Linked DNA regions of Neodiprion lecontei. The protein of the gene in region 1 interacts with the protein of each later gene in a pairwise test. Links are inferred from orthologs where the notes say so. Each region holds a gene or a part of one and is shown on either strand. Other genes may lie near its edges.

Evidence for each region.
Region 2: the proteins of raf homolog serine/threonine-protein kinase Raf (region 1) and ras-like protein 1 interact in a two-hybrid assay, tested with the Drosophila melanogaster proteins (2 studies listed by BioGRID). The link is inferred for Neodiprion lecontei from reciprocal best matches to the Drosophila melanogaster genes Raf and Ras85D.

The regions. Positions count from the first base shown.
Region 1 is NC_060262.1:27,894,256-27,898,013, forward strand, and holds the start of raf homolog serine/threonine-protein kinase Raf, read right to left. Parts: upstream 2,769-3,758; 5' UTR 2,381-2,768; coding exon 155-2,380; 3' UTR 1-154.
Region 2 is NC_060265.1:20,933,262-20,937,019, forward strand, and holds ras-like protein 1, read right to left. Parts: upstream 2,184-3,758; 5' UTR 1,986-2,183; intron 1,871-1,985; exon of another isoform or gene 1,586-1,870; intron 1,507-1,585; 5' UTR 1,423-1,506; coding exon 1,294-1,422; intron 1,157-1,293; coding exon 1,013-1,156; intron 629-1,012; coding exon 425-628; intron 343-424; coding exon 238-342; 3' UTR 94-237; downstream 1-93. UniProt on the Drosophila melanogaster protein: Ras proteins bind GDP/GTP and possess intrinsic GTPase activity. Plays a role in eye development by regulating cell growth, survival of postmitotic ommatidial cells and differentiation of photoreceptor cells.

The sequences.
Region 1 (3,758 bases):
ATTATACCAAACAAAAACAATAGGAAGTAACTACGTAGATTGTTCGCAACTTAATTTTTTTTCAAATTTTTCTCTTTTCAATTCTGTTTCTTTTTCTTTAATGCATTCTATTATGTTTTTATATGCCAAGGGTGAAAATTCAAAGTAATGTCCATTATATGTTCCCGCCCGATGGGTAAAAAGGGAATGCTCCGAATTGAAAGTTGACAGGCGTTTTAGGTGAAGCGCAGGCGTAAAGGAAATCATCCGTCTGCAATTGAGTTCGATTTAAATTTGGTTCCGAAGCTGATCTGGTTATCTTAGGCAAACCCTGAATCAAACCTTCCAAGCTAGCTAAAATTTGTCTAAATATCGGTCTTTCATCTCTGGAAAATTTTATACAGTCTTCCGTCAGGCGTTTCAAAGCCTTCGGAGTGTCCGATCTGAGTTTGTTCAAATCAGGACGCAGGTAGCCTCTCCCAACCATGAAGAGAATTTGATCTTTGTTGTTATTGTTACAATAAGGTAACTGTCCGGTAAGCAGTTCGAAAAGTACCACTCCGAAAGCGTAAACGTCGGACTGATAACTGTAGGGATTTTCTTCCTGCATTCTGATAACCTCGGGTGCCATCCATAAAATGGAACCAGTCGGTTGGTGAAATTGCTGAGATCCAGACCACCTTGTCTTCGCTGTTGCCAGTCCAAAATCACCAATCTTCACAGTCAAGTCATCGTGCAAGAATATATTGTTGCTCTTCAAATCCCGATGAATGATGTTCTTTGCGTGTAGATAATCCATACCCTGTGCAGTCTGTCTGCCAATTTCAATAAGTGTCAAAAGTTCAAACTTGGATTCAAAAACATGGAGGTGTTTGTACAAAGACGATCCCTCGCACCATTGAGTTACTATGGCGAGCTGGGGTTTACTGACGCAACCCATAAACAGGAGTATATTAACATGACGAGTTTTCCTGAGCACTGCAACTTCATTTTTAAATGCCTGGAGTTGAGCCAGTGTTGGAATTTTAACGTTCAAAGTTTTCACAGCCACCGGACCGTGCCAATGAGCTTTGTACACCGTCCCGAACGATCCTGAACCGATGCGAGGTCCCACCAATATTTCATCGGCCGGAATCTCCCAGTCTTCGATCGACTCTCTGGGGGCCAATAAATTTTTCGAAGATTCGTCAGCCGACCTTGCCCTTGGCCGTTTTGGCCTCAACGTACTCGTCGGACTCGCCTGCGTCGATTGACTGTGCTTGGTCGGACTGCTTCCAGGTGAAACCGGACTCTGAGTGTTACCAACCGGCCTTCCCAGGCTTTGAGATCTGGTGTAATCCTCGAGAGACGAGGGATCGCTCCCTGGTTTAACCATGTTGAAGCAGACATTGGGAGCGGAACTGGAGCGATCTTGCTGCCCCAAGGTTCTGGGATGTCTGTGACTTCTGACAGGAGCCAGAGACGGAGACATGCTTCGACTTAGACCATAGCCAGATGGAAGTTGGAGTATTCCAGCAGTAGTTTCGGGGTTGTGAGCCAGAAGAGCCTGGTAGTAAGCATCTTGCATGCGAACCTGATGACACAGCGCCGGAACACCGCCGGCACATCGTTGATGAAATCTGTAGTTACAAGTCCGGCAATAGAATCCTTGAAAGAGAAGTTTTCTACAGAATTCGCAGAACGCCAATGAGAAAAATGTCTTTCTAGCAAAATTGTGCGATATAGAAGTCGTTATAGGAAATTTATCCAATATCTCGACCGATATCTCGTCGCATTCCAAAGACGAAATGTCCGTGTCCCAGGGAATCGGTATCTTGGTATCGTTGTGTCCTATTACATAGACCACGCACATTTCCGGCGTAAGATTTCGCAGCTTCATCGCCTTGGCGAGGGCGTCTCTGAGCGAAAGTCCCTCTTTGACTTGGACGCTGGTGCGTTGCTGATTGGGTAGATGAGCGCGTAGCAAAGACTTCAGCGGGGTTCTCGGGTCTGGTTGTCTGGATGGTGTCTGAACCTCGTAGTCAATGTTAACACTAGCGGTAGAGTTCAGGAGCTCGTTGAGCTTCTGTTCCTTGGATTCGAGCTCGTGCAGCTTGCTGGTGAGTTCCTGATACTCGGTGAGGTAGATCGGAGGCGGGTGTTGAAAGCCGGCGAACTTGTTATTGAGCGCATCGATGTTCTGCCTCGTGACATGGATGACACTCTGGATATTTTTCAACTCGTATCTGAGGGGATCCGTCTCGAGGTAACAGTCTTCGAAATCACTCAAATCGGCGTTGTTGCCTGAGTATCCCTGCGACATGGTGTTTGAATGGTCATTACCATTACCACGGGACGGTGTCGTGTACGAAAACGTCGGTACTCTACCATGGACGAATCTTACTTCCCTAATAACTGCCATTTTCTAACGAGACCCACCTGACGCAGGTTGTTTTGTTTTCCTCGCAATGAACGTCGGCGGCGACGACATCGTGTTTAGCTAAATGGCCTTGCGAATTTAGCCGCCTATCTTCCTCCTTCTCCGCCACCTCCTCCTCCTCCTCCTCCTCCCCCCCCCTGCTCGGCCGCCAATATCTTCACCTTTTAACGCGATATAATTACGCACCGTTGGATATCACTTCACCCGACACCCGTCACTTTATATTTAAGTACGCGCCAACGATTGTTTAAACAATATTTATATTATTGCGGGTCGCACGATAATCGAGACTCTGAAAAACTCAACAATAGGCCAGTGTCAACGGCGGCTGCTTTCGCTGCCTTATTACTCTAAACTCTTGCGCAGAACCCGAACGGCGAACCGAACCGACACGGAAACTCCCGAGTTCTGTGTGTCCAGCGCCTCCGATACGTATATGGGTCATTCCACGTCAACGGTATAACGTGTATACCGTTTTCGAAAATTCATTACTAGACGGGTTTTCAAACATCATTTTGTATCAACCCTATGAAGAGTATGTCTGGCGGAAGGAGGGTTCGGAACGAGAATAACATTCCTCATTTCGCTTATTGTCAATCACGTGATTAAAGACGTGAAATAATCTTTTTCCATGCATTATTTTATAATCTTTAACTATCCGTATAATATTGCAGTAGTCGTTCCAATAGTTTCGTAATATTCAACATTTATGGTTGAAATGGATTGAAACGAATTGAAATTGTAAAAACAATCGTTTGGAAGTGAACATTTTATGCGAAGAATATGAACGATTTAGGATATTATAATGTGGATCTCGGGTGAAATTCATATTGAAAGGGAAAACAATCGAAATATACTATAATATCAAGAATTGGTTTGTCTGAAATACTGTTAACTACTTTTTTTATCTGCTATCTAGAGTTTGTGTTCAATTCGAACGTTGAGAATTAAAAGCAGAACGGATGTCAATGCGCGGTTGATGCTTAGTAATGAGAACCGTGAATAGTCGATAAAAAGAATAGAATTCCATAGAAATTAGCGGTCGAGTTTGTGGTTAGTTGAAAATTCCAAGACATGCATTTATATGCACGGTTAATATAAAAAAAAAATACACGTTTCAATTCTTTTATGTTCGTGGAACTTGAATTTTTATTCCATTATAATCACAAGACGATGTGCAAAAAATTTCGTTACAGACAAAATCCGAGAACAGATTAATTCGGTACAATATAATTTGGATACGTGCGTCAGGTTTGACCGCGGTTTCTTCACGTAATTTGTGAAAAGACTCCAGTTCCTTTCTGATTCTTTGGTTTTTTAATAATATCTCAACCAAATAATTTTGAATTACACTTTAAAC
Region 2 (3,758 bases), on another chromosome or scaffold:
AATGTTATCATTATTTGTAAGATAAGATTTGATACTACGAGTAAAAATGTATTGTGTAATATTGTACAATCATACATCAATCGTTTTAAAAAATGTTGTGGTGGCAGCTTTACTTCGCGTTTCAAAGTGAACTGCACTAATGTGCGACACAGTTAATTAACCCAACGGTTTTTTTTTCTTTTTACATTATACTCGCGCTTGTATAGTATATAAAGGTAACAGAAATTAGTTAACCATTTACAGAAGACAGCAGCGATGCCTTCGGCGTCCAGAACTTCTTGCTCTCATACGCTTTCGTTTTTCTTTGCCTCTTTGTTCTTTATCACTTCGGATTTCTCTAACCTGAAAGATATAAGTGATAACCAGTAAGATTTTTTACCACTTGCACACTTTTTCATCTTTTACTATGAATCACTTTGCTTACTAGAGTATAGAAAGCGTCGTCTACTCCCATTCTAGTTTTTGCGGAAGTTTCAACGAATGGTACACCATACTGACGAGCTACTTCTCTCGCTTGCGTCATATTTACAGCCCATGACTGAAGGTCACATTTATTCCCAACTAACACCATTGGCACCTCTTCGGCATCTTTGACACGTTTTATCTGTTCTCTGTATGTTCCAATGTCCTGTGTAATGCGAAGAAAGCAACCAAAGTTAGGTCAGTGTAATTATAGTGAAGAAAATAAAAGAATGGAAAAAATTGCTTAAATATGACAAACTTTACTATACCCTGTAATTAATTACAATAAAACCTCTTGATTCATACTCTCAAGTTATAAATACTTGTCACATTGATAAGCTGAGAAGATATCATTGCAAGTGTGAAAAGCTTTGCTACAGACTCAAGGGATATCTGATGATCAGGTTAATTGAGACAAGACAACTGTGTGATTTTTTTTGGTTACTGTGATTTTTACTAACTACATTATTTTGTAAGTAAACATCGCGAAGATTAATAATTTTCTAGCTTACTAAACAATAAATGTATCGAAATGCAGTATTGTACTTACTTCAAAACTTTTTGCCGAATTAACAGCAAAGACTAGTAGAAATCCTTCACCAGTTCGCATGTATTGGTCCCGCATTGCGCTATACTCTTCTTGGCCAGCGGTATCTAAAATATCCAGCAAACAAGTTTCCCCATCTATAACAACCTGAAAAATATGAAAATAATTAAGCTAAAAATAAAGAGTATTTGTCTATTTCTAGTGCATTGAAGATAACTTTGATTGAAAAAAAAATTAATTGTATAACTTATGCGACAAAATTTTTGAATCCAAATGTTAGTTACCTGTTTTCTATAAGAGTCTTCTATTGTTGGATCATATTCATCTACAAAGTGGTTCTGAATTAGTTGTATGGTGAGCGCTGACTTGCCAACACCTCCAGCCCCTACAACAACTAGCTTGTATTCCGTCATGACAGTCTTTTTAGTAAATCTCAACTTGAACCAAAGTACCGGACCTGAATGATGCTGGGTCGTACACTGGTTGAAAAAAGATACCTGCAAAGTGAAAAAAGAATCTTCAACAAAGATGATGGAGAGCAATTGATCTTCACTAATTGTAAGAGATTCTATCTACCTATTTATGTCTCAAGGATGGATATTATGAAGTATCCCATAGAAAGTTCGCGAAAGCAAAGGAAAAATGCTGAAATTAATCTTGCAAATGTTTCGAGAAATAAGAAAGTGGTATTTAAATTTGTGTTATATTGATTGGGTATTTTGAGCTAATGAAAAACTTATTAAAGGTTATTCGCACAATCGTATTGTAAAATACGGTAGTTGATTAGAGTTACGATGATGATAAACGATATTTTGTTATTATCTGTCGATTGGTTACATCAGATTTGCATTTTCTAATCTGTCAACGATCTGTAAGTGAGAAATAGGATATGAGTTGTGAAGAAAGAAAAAAAAAGTAACACTAAACAGGGCAAAGTAAACTTGAAGTTGAGGATAAAAATGTTTCATATACTTACTAAAGCTTGCAGGGCATTTCACTACAGAGTTTATTTTCAAATTCTTTTGTCACGACAATTGTTTAGTCACTCGCTCGAGCTTAAAAGTATAAATTAATTTAATAAAATTAATTGTTTTGATGAGTGTCGCCTGCCACAGCCTTAGAGCATATAGACATTGAGGAAGCATCGACGCTGGAAAACTGTCTCCGAGTCAGTGACAGAGAGAGACATCGTAATATTACATGCGCGCTCTGTCTGCGGCAAGAGCGTACCTGTCGTAATTGAGTGCCCCGCGCATTGCGTGGATATAATCCGGATATGTATACACATACACTGATTTCTAGTAGATAAGGTTATTGAAACAAACAGTTAATAATATCAGTATTTAACATATTTTTAAATGAAAAATTTTAATTTATGAATGTGGAACGGGCATTTTCTCCATAAAGTGTGATGGAAACGCGACGTTTCAATGGCATGATTTTAGTAAATAAATTAAACTTAATAGCAGCACTCGAACTTCTGATGCTCCTGGTATGCACTACGAGCAAAACAAACTATTAAAGCCTTTACAGCCAGGAACCGGGATCCTGTGATACAAGCGTGAGTGCTCGGAGCACTAGCGTAAGTCGGCCAATCGGAGCCTGCGAGACAGAGAAGGGATGTAGTATTACTATTTCCCTCTCTGTACCGTTTTCCACTTATGCGAAAGGGTATACCAGGACTATATGCTCTAAGGCCACAGCCCACTTCGCTACTGCCATTAGTGAGTGGTAGTCACAAAAAACTCACCCAGTTCGAATCACTACCGGTAAAATAGATAACAAGATATGTTGCCATCTACATGTTGGTCAACAAAGTAGGAATCGGCCACTCTTCACGTATTATTAGAGGATACCATCATTTTTCGTAAAACAATAACGGAATGAAATAATTTTGACCCCTAGGCACCCTAATCTGATTCATAAAAAAACACGTATTCGACGATAGTGACATATAGTGTTAATTGTAGGCTTGACTTGCTTTGAATTCGATTGCGAATCAGACGTATTTACAGCCTAAGATCACAGCATGTCTTGGAAACGCGGATCATGGAACGGAAAAAGAATACGGGTCTAATGAAATTCGATTTAAAAAAGTAACCGAAGGTTTTGCAGCTTCATCATTGTACCAAAAGTAGAGTTTTCCATTTTTCATTTTAGATCACTCTAGTTGCCGTAATCATGTCCGTAAACGAGTCGTGCGGCATCTACAGCGCATTGTTTATATAACAATAAATATGTTCTTTATGAATTTTTTGCAATAGGAAAAAAAAAACAAAAACGAGACATTTCAATACTACGTATTAACTGTGTGCAAAAGTTCAATCTTGGCACCCGAATACCTGAGTGAAAAAGAAATATGGAAAATAGACTCGTTTTTCGAAGGTTATGCTTACCCCTTAAAATTCTGTTACAGGCCTTAGGGAAGAAAGTAAAAATAAAATAAATTTACATTTCATATAACTTACTTCAAAAGTTTATACATAAAAAATATGTTAGCCTAAGATATGAATATAATATAAAATAAAAACTATTAATAAGAATATTAAATATAACGTAATAAATATGCAATCGTAAATGTATATACAGTTCAATTTTAATCAAATTCGTCGATCATTTTGGGTTATGATGATAATGTGAATAATAATTTAAATACAATATAGTCAATAATGTACCTATCTTCGATATAATATTATATTATACAATAGTCTTCTCTAACACCGGGGTTATGAAAAATATAATTATTAAT